4 linked regions of the Saccharomyces cerevisiae S288C genome follow. The gene in region 1 interacts genetically with each later gene. Each region holds a gene or a part of one and is shown on either strand. Other genes may lie near its edges. The genes, in order: ISN1, YJR096W, POG1 and YGR153W.

Evidence for each region.
Region 2: mutations in ISN1 (region 1) and YJR096W together harm fitness more than expected from each alone (negative genetic interaction), as found in Saccharomyces cerevisiae (one large-scale study listed by BioGRID).
Region 3: mutations in ISN1 (region 1) and POG1 together harm fitness more than expected from each alone (negative genetic interaction), as found in Saccharomyces cerevisiae (one large-scale study listed by BioGRID).
Region 4: mutations in ISN1 (region 1) and YGR153W together harm fitness more than expected from each alone (negative genetic interaction), as found in Saccharomyces cerevisiae (one large-scale study listed by BioGRID).

What each region holds. Positions count from the first base shown.
Region 1 is NC_001147.6:626,093-629,540, forward strand, and holds ISN1 (IMP 5'-nucleotidase), read right to left. Parts: upstream 1,889-3,448; coding exon 536-1,888; downstream 1-535. Other genes in the region: SLP1 (Slp1p), read left to right, coding at 1-400; SUMO ligase NFI1, read right to left, coding at 2,268-3,448. UniProt on the Saccharomyces cerevisiae protein: IMP-specific 5'-nucleotidase involved in IMP (inosine 5'-phosphate) degradation.
Region 2 is NC_001142.9:609,213-612,576, forward strand, and holds YJR096W (aldo-keto reductase superfamily protein), read left to right. Parts: upstream 1-1,982; coding exon 1,983-2,831; downstream 2,832-3,364. Other genes in the region: SFC1 (Sfc1p), read left to right, coding at 561-1,529; JJJ3 (Jjj3p), read left to right, coding at 3,201-3,364.
Region 3 is NC_001141.2:128,770-132,171, forward strand, and holds POG1 (Pog1p), read left to right. Parts: upstream 1-1,840; coding exon 1,841-2,896; downstream 2,897-3,402. Other genes in the region: putative glucosidase SIM1, read left to right, coding at 1-812. UniProt on the Saccharomyces cerevisiae protein: Transcriptional activator which promotes cell cycle recovery with CLN2, after pheromone induced G1 arrest, probably inhibiting the ability of STE20 to activate the pheromone response pathway.
Region 4 is NC_001139.9:794,272-797,245, reverse strand, and holds YGR153W (uncharacterized protein), read right to left. Parts: upstream 1,155-2,974; coding exon 501-1,154; downstream 1-500. Other genes in the region: GTO1 (omega-class glutathione transferase), read left to right, coding at 1-448; Ras family GTPase RSR1, read left to right, coding at 1,754-2,572.

The sequences.
Region 1 (3,448 bases):
CATTGAGGAACAGAGCAAACTGCTATCTAAATCGTTTGAACAACTTGAAATGGCGCACGAAGCAAAGTTCAGTCATCTTGTCACGATATTCAACGAAACAATGATGAGTAATCTAGATCTGCTGAATAACTTTGCCAATCAATTGAAAGATCAATCTTTACGTATATTAGAAGAACAGAAACTGGAGAATGACAAATTTACTAACCGTCATTTATTGCATTTGGAAAGATTGGAAAAAGAAGTCAGTTTTCAAAGAAGAATTGTTTATGCGTCATTTTTCGCCTTCGTAGGGTTGATATCCTATCTATTAATAACGAGAGAGCTTTACTTTGAAGATTTCGAAGAGAGCAAAAATGGCGCTATTGAAAAGGCAGACATTGTTCAACAAGCAATCAGATGAATCCTAGAGGGCCCATAATCATAATTCTAAGCATAATTCATTCAAGATGAAAAAATCCACCGCCATATATGAGGTGTTTCTATAGGAAATATCTATATACTTTTATAGTCCTAATTTCATTTTACATAAACTGTTTTAATCAGTTTCTAATAATCTATGAAGATAATTCACTGTTTCTTGAGGGGATGCTATCCAGAGGGTACATCCAGCTAGCCTTGCCTTAAAATCATTTGCTGATCCCACCGGTGCAAACTGATCGCCTACGTGTAAGGTTTCAGAGGGTTGGATAGGAGATTCAGGGTTATAAAATTGTTGCAATGAACGAACACCAAGATCTTTCCCCCCAATATCACACCAGACATCACTACCACCATCAAAACAACTAAATTGAATTCTTCTAGATGGGGCAAAAGACTCTAAAGTGTTTTGAAGGGTTAAAACTATTTCCTCCAGTTGTTCCCTATCAAGCTTAACAGGAACTTGTCTTTTAGAAGCTTCATCGTACCGTTCGCCTGGGACGATACCCACTGCCCTGACTTTACGGATAATAGAAATCTCTGAAGGTAGGTTTAGTCTTTTTCTTAACCTGTTAAGAGTTCTCTCGGCAAAGTCCAAAGTCTTTTCCACGTCCTCGAGGGACCAAGCCTTCATTCTAGGCAATAGCCATTCCTCTTTGTCAATTTGTCTAAAGCCAAAGTTATCTTCCTCCGGGTCTTCATAGTAACGGAAAAGGTAACTCGACTCACCACCCATTATTGTTAAATTCTGCTTTTGAGAAACTGGTATATCAGTTGAATCATGTAATGCAACAATTAATCCTTTCAATCTGTTCTCATAGGTTCCAGCTTCATCATATCCGGCCGCAGTGACTATTCCCACATTGATACCGCACCGCAACAGCTTGAGAATATAAGGAATTACAGGATTAGTGTAAACCAGGGAGCCACCATCTTCATACAGCGTCACATCTCCATCAAAAGTCACTAATCTCAAAACCTTACCATTATGTAAGTTCTCCTGTTTCTTAAAGTGAAATATCTGTGCAGTATTCAGGATATGCCTGATATCATTAAAACTGGGTGCTACCATTCTACGCGCCGAAATGGCCCGTTGTGAGTCTTCCCATAGAAAAGCTTGTTCCAATGGAAGTTCCGTAAAGAATGTTCCAATTGATGGAACCAAAAGATTTAAACGCGATTGTCCTAATATATTCAGAGATTGAGAAGAGGCGCCATCTTCAATTTCGTCTTGGCTCATGTTTCTTGAGTCAAATTCTATTTTATCTTTAATCAGCCCTTCAATGTCTTTAAAGATATCAGCATACTGCGACCTTACACGTTGAGTTGTTGCTAAGTCGTCATTGTAGTCACCTTCATGAGAGACGGCATGTAGAACAAAAGGTGAGGCCAGTAGCCCCTTTACCCAATCTATAAACTCATCCTTGCGGTGGCTCTTCAAATGATATTCCACTCTATATCTTGAGGACATTGCTATTATAAGTTAACTCACGATCTTTTGTTACTTTCTTTGAATAGTTTTCTTTTCTTAGTACATTCCTTTACCTTTTAAATTTTGTTAATTTAAGGGCGGCCTGTCCCGCTAAACGTGGGAAGTGAAAGGACATGAAATATTATAGTGTAATACAGGAAGTATACAGAGAAATCTATAGAAACCTATCACTGCAGATTCGCACACTACACCCATGAAGTAACCACAGTAGTAAAAAAACATAACAAAAGTCGTAATATTTATCAAAACAAAAACATCATTTACGCCCAAAAGTGGAAGTCAATATTAAGAGCGAAATGAAACAATAGAAATAAAAATAGAATACAATCGGAAAGGAAAGAAATCAAAAGACGGTTAATCAATCTGATGTTAAATCGACCACTTCCGAGTTATCTTGAGCCGATGTGTTAAAGTCATTAGTTTGGGCCAGAGTTTTATTCATTATGGCGTGATTTGCCTGTGGTCTCCGTTTCATAAGGGTGGCGTATGGATTCTTCGGAATGTAGATAGAAACATTAGAATGCCTTCTCTTCCTAATTTTTCCATCATCCCCATGGCCGCTGGTGCTCACGTGTATATATGGAGGGAGATGTGCCGCCGATGTGGTCCTTGTTGGTAGTTCAGTTTCTGCTTCTGAATTTGGGTCCACAGGGGGGATTGGAGGCAAATCACCTTCGATTCCCAAAAGATTACGATCTTGAGCTGTGGTATTGTAATTAGGTCCGTAGGGGTTTCTCTGCGCTTCCGTTTGATTAGTCAAATTTTGTAGAACAGCCGGTAATAGTGGCGTTGATGGCCCTCTATTGTAGAATATTCTGCTGTCACCATTCGTCGCCGTAACGAAAGAATTAATACTGCTATTGTTCGTCGGTGTGTCATTTATATTTGTAGTAGCGCCTTGGTTCAAAAATGACCTCATTTGAAAAGCATCTTGATAATTATCTTGGTCCATAGTTGGAGAACCTTTCGGCGTTGATGTATGATTGGGGTTGTAGTCACTGGATCCTTCCGATTCTGAGGGAAATATATCTGCTCTTAATTGGTCATTACGGGGGTTCACGTGCGTTGGGAAGCTTTTACTAGCCGGAATAAAGGCTTCATCATCTGAGCTATCCAGAGATATTATTTCGGGTTCGTTGTGGTTTGAACCATTACGCAAATTAGTATCGAAGGCATTTCGGCTGTCATAATCTTGCTCTTGTTTGACAGTGCCTTGGTTCTCGTTTTTCACACTGTGATTTTGGTTAACAGTATCCGTTATAACGGCCGAACTATTATGAATCGGTTTCCATGAGCCATCAACAGATATCTCAACTTGCTCAACATCTTCATTGCAATTTTGAATAATATTATCTACAAATTCGGAAATCTTCAACTGGTCGAATTTTATAGGGTGTTGACAAATCGGACACTGCCATGTAGGGACTTGTGACTGAGAGTGAAGAAACCAGAGAGCATCAAAACATTGGATATGCTTACATTGGTCAGTCTTCGCCGGATACTTCATCCTTGTACAAGATATAGGACATTGCAAACTCA
Region 2 (3,364 bases), on another chromosome or scaffold:
AATGAGCCATGAATTATTAACCGCCCATGTCTACCAGATACCACATCGTATGACAGTACCAGCCTAGTCCCGGTAAACCGCAAACGGACCTTAATTGTGACGAAGGGCCCAAATTTGATGGGTCGGTGTTAATGATTAGTCCTCATTGTCATAATAAAGTGTGATGATGGAGGCAATGATGATATACGGTAGTACTACTGCTCGAGGTGCTATCTTTTAACCAATCCTTTGAGATTCTTGTCGCCACGGAGTTACTACCTTTTACAAACCGTAATGTCACATTTTGCATATATCTTATGTATAAATATATAGTTCACTTACTACTTGTTCTCGTTTTGTTAACTTTCTTGTTGTAGTTCTTCTTGTTCTTGGCGTTTCCCCCTTTGTTTTCTATCTGCTTCATAAGTAAAGTGCAAAGCATTTTGGAAGATATTATCAATTGAGTCATTGAAAGAAACTTGGCATCTTCCCTATTACTAAAACTAAGAATACTTGATTCAAGAAAGAAGTTTATATTAGTTTTAGCCGTAAGATAACATAACAAAGAAGAAGAAAGAAAAATGTCTCAAAAAAAGAAGGCTTCCCATCCAGCCATCAATCTCATGGCTGGCGGCACAGCAGGTTTATTTGAAGCATTGTGTTGTCATCCTTTAGATACAATTAAGGTGAGAATGCAAATATACAGACGGGTAGCTGGTATTGAACATGTTAAACCCCCAGGATTTATTAAAACTGGGCGTACCATTTATCAAAAAGAAGGTTTCTTGGCTCTGTATAAAGGTCTAGGTGCTGTGGTCATCGGTATTATACCTAAGATGGCAATCCGTTTCTCGTCTTATGAATTCTATAGAACCTTATTGGTTAACAAGGAATCAGGAATTGTGTCTACCGGTAATACTTTTGTTGCTGGTGTTGGGGCTGGTATCACCGAAGCTGTTCTTGTCGTGAACCCGATGGAAGTTGTAAAGATTAGGTTACAAGCTCAGCATTTAACTCCGAGTGAGCCAAATGCTGGTCCTAAATATAACAACGCCATTCATGCAGCCTACACTATTGTCAAAGAAGAAGGTGTTTCTGCCTTATATAGAGGCGTTTCCTTAACTGCGGCAAGGCAAGCAACTAATCAGGGTGCTAACTTCACAGTTTATTCTAAACTGAAGGAGTTTTTGCAGAATTACCATCAGATGGATGTCCTACCTTCATGGGAAACTTCTTGCATAGGTTTGATTTCGGGTGCTATTGGGCCGTTTTCCAACGCTCCATTGGATACTATAAAGACAAGGCTGCAAAAGGATAAGTCCATCTCATTGGAAAAACAGTCCGGTATGAAGAAAATCATAACCATTGGTGCTCAACTACTGAAAGAAGAAGGTTTTAGAGCTTTGTACAAGGGTATTACCCCAAGAGTGATGAGGGTGGCTCCAGGTCAGGCTGTCACCTTTACCGTTTATGAATATGTAAGGGAGCATTTAGAAAATTTGGGTATATTCAAGAAGAATGACACACCAAAGCCAAAGCCATTAAAGTAGATGATGAACAATGGGACTACAAAATGAAATAAAGAAAAAATAGAAATAGGCTAGAAGATCAATTATTAATCGCCCTATTCTTCCTTATTACCTACACAAAATAAAGCAGCAACATAAGAAACAAAAACAAAATGAAAACAAACCAAATAAATCTATGTAAGCATACTCATTTCAATTTGATATTCATTACTTGACTTTTTTGTCCTTATTTGAGGCTCCATAAGCGCGCCATTTTTCCCTACTCCCTTTTTTCGTAAATAGTAATAATGTGCTGAAAAGAACAATGAAGTAGTTATCATACATATTCCGTCGTGTCGATATGAGGGGAGGTGTCTCTTTCTTTCATCCCTTGTCGCAACCTCCAATATATAAGAGCATAAGCAACTGATCTTACTTTAGTAATTAACTTAGCATACCTAGCCCGAAGGAAGAAAAAAAATTCACCTCAACAACATGGTTCCTAAGTTTTACAAACTTTCAAACGGCTTCAAAATCCCAAGCATTGCTTTGGGAACCTACGATATTCCAAGATCGCAAACAGCCGAAATTGTGTATGAAGGTGTCAAGTGCGGCTACCGTCATTTCGATACTGCTGTTCTTTATGGTAATGAGAAGGAAGTTGGCGATGGTATCATTAAATGGTTGAACGAAGATCCAGGGAACCATAAACGTGAGGAAATCTTCTACACTACTAAATTATGGAATTCGCAAAACGGATATAAAAGAGCTAAAGCTGCCATTCGGCAATGTTTGAATGAAGTCTCGGGCTTGCAATACATCGATCTTCTTTTGATTCATTCGCCACTGGAAGGTTCTAAATTAAGGTTGGAAACTTGGCGCGCCATGCAAGAAGCGGTTGATGAAGGATTGGTTAAGTCTATAGGGGTTTCCAACTATGGGAAAAAGCACATTGATGAACTTTTGAACTGGCCAGAACTGAAGCACAAGCCAGTGGTCAACCAAATCGAGATATCACCTTGGATTATGAGACAAGAATTAGCAGATTACTGTAAATCTAAAGGTCTCGTCGTCGAAGCCTTTGCCCCATTGTGTCACGGCTACAAAATGACTAATCCAGATTTATTAAAAGTTTGCAAAGAGGTGGACCGTAATCCAGGTCAAGTTTTGATTCGTTGGTCTTTACAACACGGTTATTTACCACTACCGAAGACTAAAACTGTGAAGAGGTTAGAAGGTAACCTTGCAGCCTACAACTTTGAACTGTCAGACGAACAGATGAAATTTCTTGATCATCCTGATGCTTATGAGCCTACCGATTGGGAATGCACAGACGCGCCATAAAAAGAAAATGCGAACCGTAGAATAACGTATATAGAACATATAATTAGTTTACGTTTCACAAAGTATTAATATTACATGTAGCTTTTTCAGGACTTTCGATCTAAATCAAAGATTAAAGGAGCTGCTAGAGGTAGAAAAGGAAATCATTGACTTTTCTTGAAGATTTATGAGCGGGTAACTGGAGATGGAAATTTTCAGAAAAATTGTAAATGGATGCGATGACTTCGATGTGACGTTACTAGTCTTACCATTGTAAAAACCACTATCGGTGCCAAAAGATAAGCGCAATCAACTAAGAAATTTACCACGCTCTTTGTATTGTATTTATCTCCAATTTAATCTTTCTTTTGGTGTGAAAATTTAGCGAAAATGTCATTGGTGAATTCGTTAACACACTACGAAATTTTAAGAATTCCATCGGATGCAACACAAGATGAAATCAAAAAGGCATATAGGAATCGGTTACTAAATACGCACCCCGATAAACTTTCTAAAAGCATACATGATACGGTTAGCAACGTCACAATCAATAA
Region 3 (3,402 bases), on another chromosome or scaffold:
GTGATTTGGCCGACTTTTCAGGCCCAAGTGAGAAATTCCAAGACGGCACTATTCCATGTGACAAATTCCCATCTGGTCAAGGTGTCATTTCTATTGACTGGATTGGCGAGGGTGGATGGTCCGGTGTGGAAAACACCGACACTTCCACTGGCGGTTCATGCAAGGAGGGGTCCTACTGTTCCTACTCCTGCCAACCAGGTATGTCTAAGACCCAATGGCCATCCGATCAACCATCTGACGGTAGATCTGTCGGGGGTTTGTTGTGTAAAAATGGTTATTTGTACCGTTCTAACACTGACGCGGATTACTTATGTGAATGGGGTGTCGAGGCTGCCTATGTTGTTTCTAAACTAAGCAAGGGTGTCGCCATTTGCAGAACCGACTACCCGGGCACTGAAAACATGGTTATCCCAACCTATGTTGAAGGGGGTAGCTCTTTGCCATTGACCGTTGTTGACCAAGATACTTACTTTACTTGGGAAGGCAAAAAGACATCTGCTCAATACTACGTTAATAACGCCGGCGTCTCAGTTGAAGATGGGTGTATCTGGGGTACTTCTGGATCTGGTATTGGTAACTGGGCACCATTAAACTTTGGTGCTGGCTCCACTGGTGGAGTGACATACTTATCATTGATTCCTAACCCAAACAACAGCGACGCATTGAACTACAACGTCAAGATAGTTGCTGCTGATGATTCATCCAATGTCATCGGTGAATGTGTTTACGAAAATGGTGAGTTCTCTGGCGGTGCTGACGGGTGTACCGTCTCTGTTACTTCCGGTAAAGCTCATTTCGTCTTATACAATTAAGCTACGTGACTACTACTTTTCCTTTTTTTTTTCTTTTTTCGAACACATCTCACCCCCTATACCTCACACAATCACTATGGTCCCCTTTTCTTTTTACCGATATTTATACTGTCCACCTTTTTCTTTTCGTTAATGGCCTCAATGTTTCTGTACCATTATCCAAGTGAACTTGTTAGACGACCAAATATAGCCAAGATTCATTACGATTATCTTTAACTAGCAAGTAGTATTCTTGGATAGAGAGATTTTCAAAGACGGAACAATTTTAAATAGATTTACATAAGAAAACACATACTGTCCGATACCCATAAGAAATTTAAGAACTCTTTTCATCTTCAGCTTTCCGGCCTCCTTTTACTGTAGCCTGTTCCTAGACAGCTAAAAATAGTACATATGCAGCTCTGCAATAGTCTCAAAGGGGATATTGTGTAGGTTTACGAAATCATCACATTTCCGAATCAGGACATGAAGGCACAACTTTCCGCACGTAGTGTTTTCAGCCCCCAGCGCCTGTCGGCGCGAAGAGGATCTGCGGAGATGAGCTTTGCCCCGCCATTACCCGTAAAATATTACTGTTTTGGGCAATTGTGGATCAAAAAGGGAAAATGCGGATGGTGAAAAAAATTTTTGGAAATTTACTGCTTCAGATGGGGGAACTTTGTAAGTTCTTCCTTTTTTTTCGTAGAGGTTGGAAAATTCAGAGTGCTAAGAAATTAAAAGGTATGCACTGCCTATTCTCATAAAAGCAAAAGTGCACAAAAATAATAAGGTGTGAAGCAATAGTAGAAAAGACACTGGGAACCCAAGGTATCTTATTTTAACAGATAAGTAAAACTAAGATCAAATCGCGTACTGATATCACTTAAGGTTCGCGTATTTTAAAGGCTACGCAGAAGAGGAAATAAATTGCGTGCAATCCCTGCGCTTAACTCATACAAAAAGGCGCAAAACATTTCAAGAGTCCCACGATTAATTGCAGAAATTGAAAAAAAATAAGTAAAGACGAAAATCAAAGTGGATGCCATATTATGAAGCAGGAGCCACATAGACAATCCGAAGAAAAAGAGAAGCCGAAAGGACCAATGGCTGTTGAACGAGAGCAGCATACCTCATTATCTTCTGGTACAACCGTGACAGCTAGTACAGGAGACGAGAGTACCAACAGTAGACCAGTGGAATCATCGCAAACAGAAAAGTCTCTATCGCTTCGAATAAGAATATTAAAACAACTTGGGTTTGACGATATTCAAGAACTAAATGCATGCGACACTGGCCTAGTGGAGCAATTTTTAAACGTACGATTGATAAACGACACAAAAGAACTAGAAAAGATACGCGAGTCAAATCTTGCGAAACTAAACCAGATTATTGATAAATGTATGGAAAGTGATAAAATAAGTGATTCGACATTAAACAAGATTCTTGATATGTCCATGAATAGAGATACAAATAATGATAACAACAATCATCTTACGATACCGTCTCCGATAACGACAAAGAAACGCAAGATAAACGCCTCCGAACTTGCAAGTCCACGAGGCCATAGAAGATATAGATCTGATATACCTACAGTGTCAGAAGTTGAGACAGGGGTCGGATACCCTCAAATACACCAGCAACCAGGCGCATATACTTTACCTATGCCTGCAAATCAGTGGATGAGCAACCCGTATATGCAACCTCCGCAACCACAAGTGCAACAGATAATGCCGCAGTATTTATATCCACCAGGGATGGGACCACAAGCTCAGCTTCCTACAATGAGCTCAAACTCGGAGTCCCAGACACCAGTGATGAGCTCACAGTTTCTTTCCTTGAACCAGCATGGCCTTTACCAACAAAATATAGGTGCTCATCCGGTAATGAGTATGGGCCCACAGGCAAATATATACGGGCAGCAGCACCAGCTGCAACCTGGTCAGGAACGAGACCAGTCAAGAAAAAGTTTTAGTCATAGAAGGTCACAAAGTGCCAATATTTCCATGGCAAATTTTAGGTCGCCCATGCGAAATCCCCAGCCGGCTTCGTCCCAAAGGCCCGTCAATTTTCTCATTCATACACCAAAACATCCTCCTCCCACATGACGTGCAGTAATTTTCATTTTTATCACCTAATTTCTAAAACTATATCCCTTCCTAACCTTCATTCGATGCATCCGTCCACCTTACTTCAGTTCAAAAAAAAATATATATCCATATATATGCTACAGTGTTATTATTACGATTTCTTTGCCTTTACTCCTTATCTCATTTCAATCATGAATAAACAGGATATTGATAATATATGCTGTCATTTTGGATTCAGTCTGCTTAACTGTCTTGTCCACCCCCGGTGTTCTTACCCGTCTGAGCGGTCGTAAGACGGAGGTAATAATTTTTCAGCATCCTGACCTCCCCCCCAAATCTGTGCCTTTCACCACATTTTTCTCGAGAAAATGTGTCTTGGCTCAGATGATGTCGTATGAGCTACTGGACTTTTTTTTGTTGGCCCTGATGAAAATAGTAATGGCGGTTACAGAACAGATAAACGGCGTCACCATCTTTTCCTAGATAAAGAAGCAATCTCTAGATAATGGGGTATATAAATATAC
Region 4 (2,974 bases), on another chromosome or scaffold:
TAAAGTCGGATTAGCAGAAAACGGAAAGATTTACGAAACTGAAGTAAAAACACTGTTTGAAAACTTGCAGAAGATGGAATGTGTACTAAAAGAAAATTATAAGCGCTTAGAGGAGCAATTCAGTGGTAACAAACAGAAAATCTTGGCTAAATATTTTGTTTTAGGACAGAGGTTAACTGAAGCGGATATCAGATTGTATCCATCAATAATTAGATTTGACGTCGTGTACGTGCAGCACTTCAAATGCAATTTGAAAACTATAAGGGATGGTTTCCCGTACCTTCATTTGTGGTTGATTAATCTATACTGGAATTACGCAGAGTTTAGATTTACTACAGATTTTAATCATATTAAGCTCTTTTACATCAGGATGGAAGTAAGTAGGAACAAGATCAATCAGTTTGGTATAGTGCCATTAGGCCCAAAGCCTGACATTTCTAGATTATGAAAACTTCTAATATTTTCTTACACACACATATATTTATATGCATGGCTATACTTCAAAAGAGGTTGTCACTTCCATTTCCATGTAGGTAAAACTCGTGTATAGACGGAACACAGACTTCCCTAGTTTTATTGACTTCATAGTCTCTGCACCATTCAATTATGTCTCTGTAAAAGAGACTCTTCTTTATATCGCCCTTTTCTATATTCTCCATCTCCAGTTCTTTGAAGCATTTTGCTTTTCTCGATTTATGACAACCACACGGTTTTACACTCTCCTCTCCATGTTCTACCATTTCATGCCTCCAGTCAAAAAATGGTTGACTGTATTCCCTACTTGAATCCATACTTGATTCAACAAGGTAGTTTCTCGAATTCTCAGGTAGTACTGCCACCCTCCTTAAACGTTTCTCTCTTTGTCTTGCTTCCTTTCTTTGTTCTATTTTTGGCGGAATGGTAAATTTCACAGGATTCTTGGATCCATTCTCATTTTCATTCAAGGCATTTAAGTCCAAGGAAAATAACCGTATGCTCACGTTGGACCCTTCAAACGTGAAACTATCTTCACTCAATATACTTCCTACACCGCATTGTTCCTCGTTACTACTTGAATCCTGTATATCTGAGAGAGAGGTAAAAAATGAGTAGGTATCTCTTTCCCCCTCACATTCGTAAGTGCCGACTTCTTTATTCAAACAGGCCTTTCCCATTTCTCAAAGACCTCTTTTCGTAACCTATTTAGTAATGATGAAAAGTATTAAACAGTATTTTCAAGATAAGAATTTTATTATTTTGTACCATTTACGATACACATAAACCCCAGAAAAAAACAACTTTATGGGAAAAGGCGAATAGTACTCATAATATACAAGGTAAAAGCAGGCGTATCTCAGTCATACAGTTCAATAGAGAAAGGCATTTTTGGAATATCATACATTTTATCTAGCAAGTGGAAACAGACTGTATATTCCCAAGAATCATCGCCTTTTTATCACAACGTCAGCCTCACAACTAATTCGCGTCAAAGCGCATTCATCCTCGACATTCTCAAACGCGAAATATCGTCGAAAAAGGTTAAAAAGAAAAGAGAGAAGGACAGAAAAAGAAAAAAGTAAAGTAGAGCTCGATCTCGAAAAAAAGAACCATTGCGTTCGTTCTTAACTACGCCAAGAAGTTTTTGAAATTTCATCCTCTCCACTGAACAATAATACTATTATTTAGTAACGATATAGAACATTTACATACAACGTTCTAATATTTTGGCTTCTATCATCGCTTAGAAATATTTGGCTAGGAAACATTAGGACTAATGAGAGACTATAAATTAGTAGTATTGGGTGCTGGTGGTGTCGGTAAATCCTGCTTAACCGTGCAGTTTGTACAGGGAGTTTATTTGGATACGTATGATCCAACGATCGAAGATTCTTACAGGAAAACCATCGAGATCGATAACAAGGTATTCGACCTGGAAATTTTAGATACAGCGGGTATAGCACAATTTACTGCAATGAGAGAATTATACATAAAGTCAGGAATGGGGTTCCTGTTGGTATATTCAGTAACAGATCGGCAATCTTTGGAAGAATTAATGGAGCTAAGAGAACAGGTCCTTAGGATCAAAGATTCCGATCGCGTTCCAATGGTTCTAATAGGTAACAAGGCTGATCTAATCAATGAAAGGGTAATAAGTGTGGAAGAAGGTATAGAGGTAAGCAGTAAATGGGGTAGAGTTCCCTTTTATGAAACAAGCGCTTTGTTGAGGAGCAATGTGGATGAAGTGTTCGTTGATTTAGTTAGGCAAATCATTCGGAATGAAATGGAAAGTGTTGCAGTTAAAGACGCAAGAAATCAAAGTCAACAATTTAGCAAAATCGAGTCTCCATCAACCAGGCTCCCTAGTTCTGCGAAACAGGATACGAAACAATCAAACAATAAGCAATCATCAAAAGGTTTATATAACAAATCTTCACAAGGACAAGCTAAAGTTAAACAATCTACTCCGGTTAATGAAAAGCACAAACCGTCACATGCCGTTCCGAAATCTGGTTCTAGCAACAGGACAGGAATTAGCGCTACTTCACAACAAAAGAAAAAGAAGAAAAACGCTTCCACTTGCACTATTCTATAGTCACTTAATTTTATTATAAATGAATCAAGATATCAGATAAAAAGACTTTACTTGAAATAGTTTTATTATAGTTCTAAAAGGTTTAGTTTAAAGTATTAGCATACGTTGTATAAGTTTTTAAAGAAATCAATTAATAATGTTTGAAAATAAATTTAAACCCAAAAAAAATGAAATGTTAAAAATATGGACGCAACCGGAATCGAACCGATGACCTCTTCCTTGCAAGGGAAGCGCGCTACCAACTGCGCCATGTGCCCGCAATCTATGGGATTTTACGGTAGATGCTGCGTTACGTATAAAAAATATTAAATGAACAGATCCACACTCTCGTAACTAAAGCTCACACTGTAGTTTCTTATAGTTTATGTTGATTGATATAATTAATTCAGAGGGTCTTTAGTC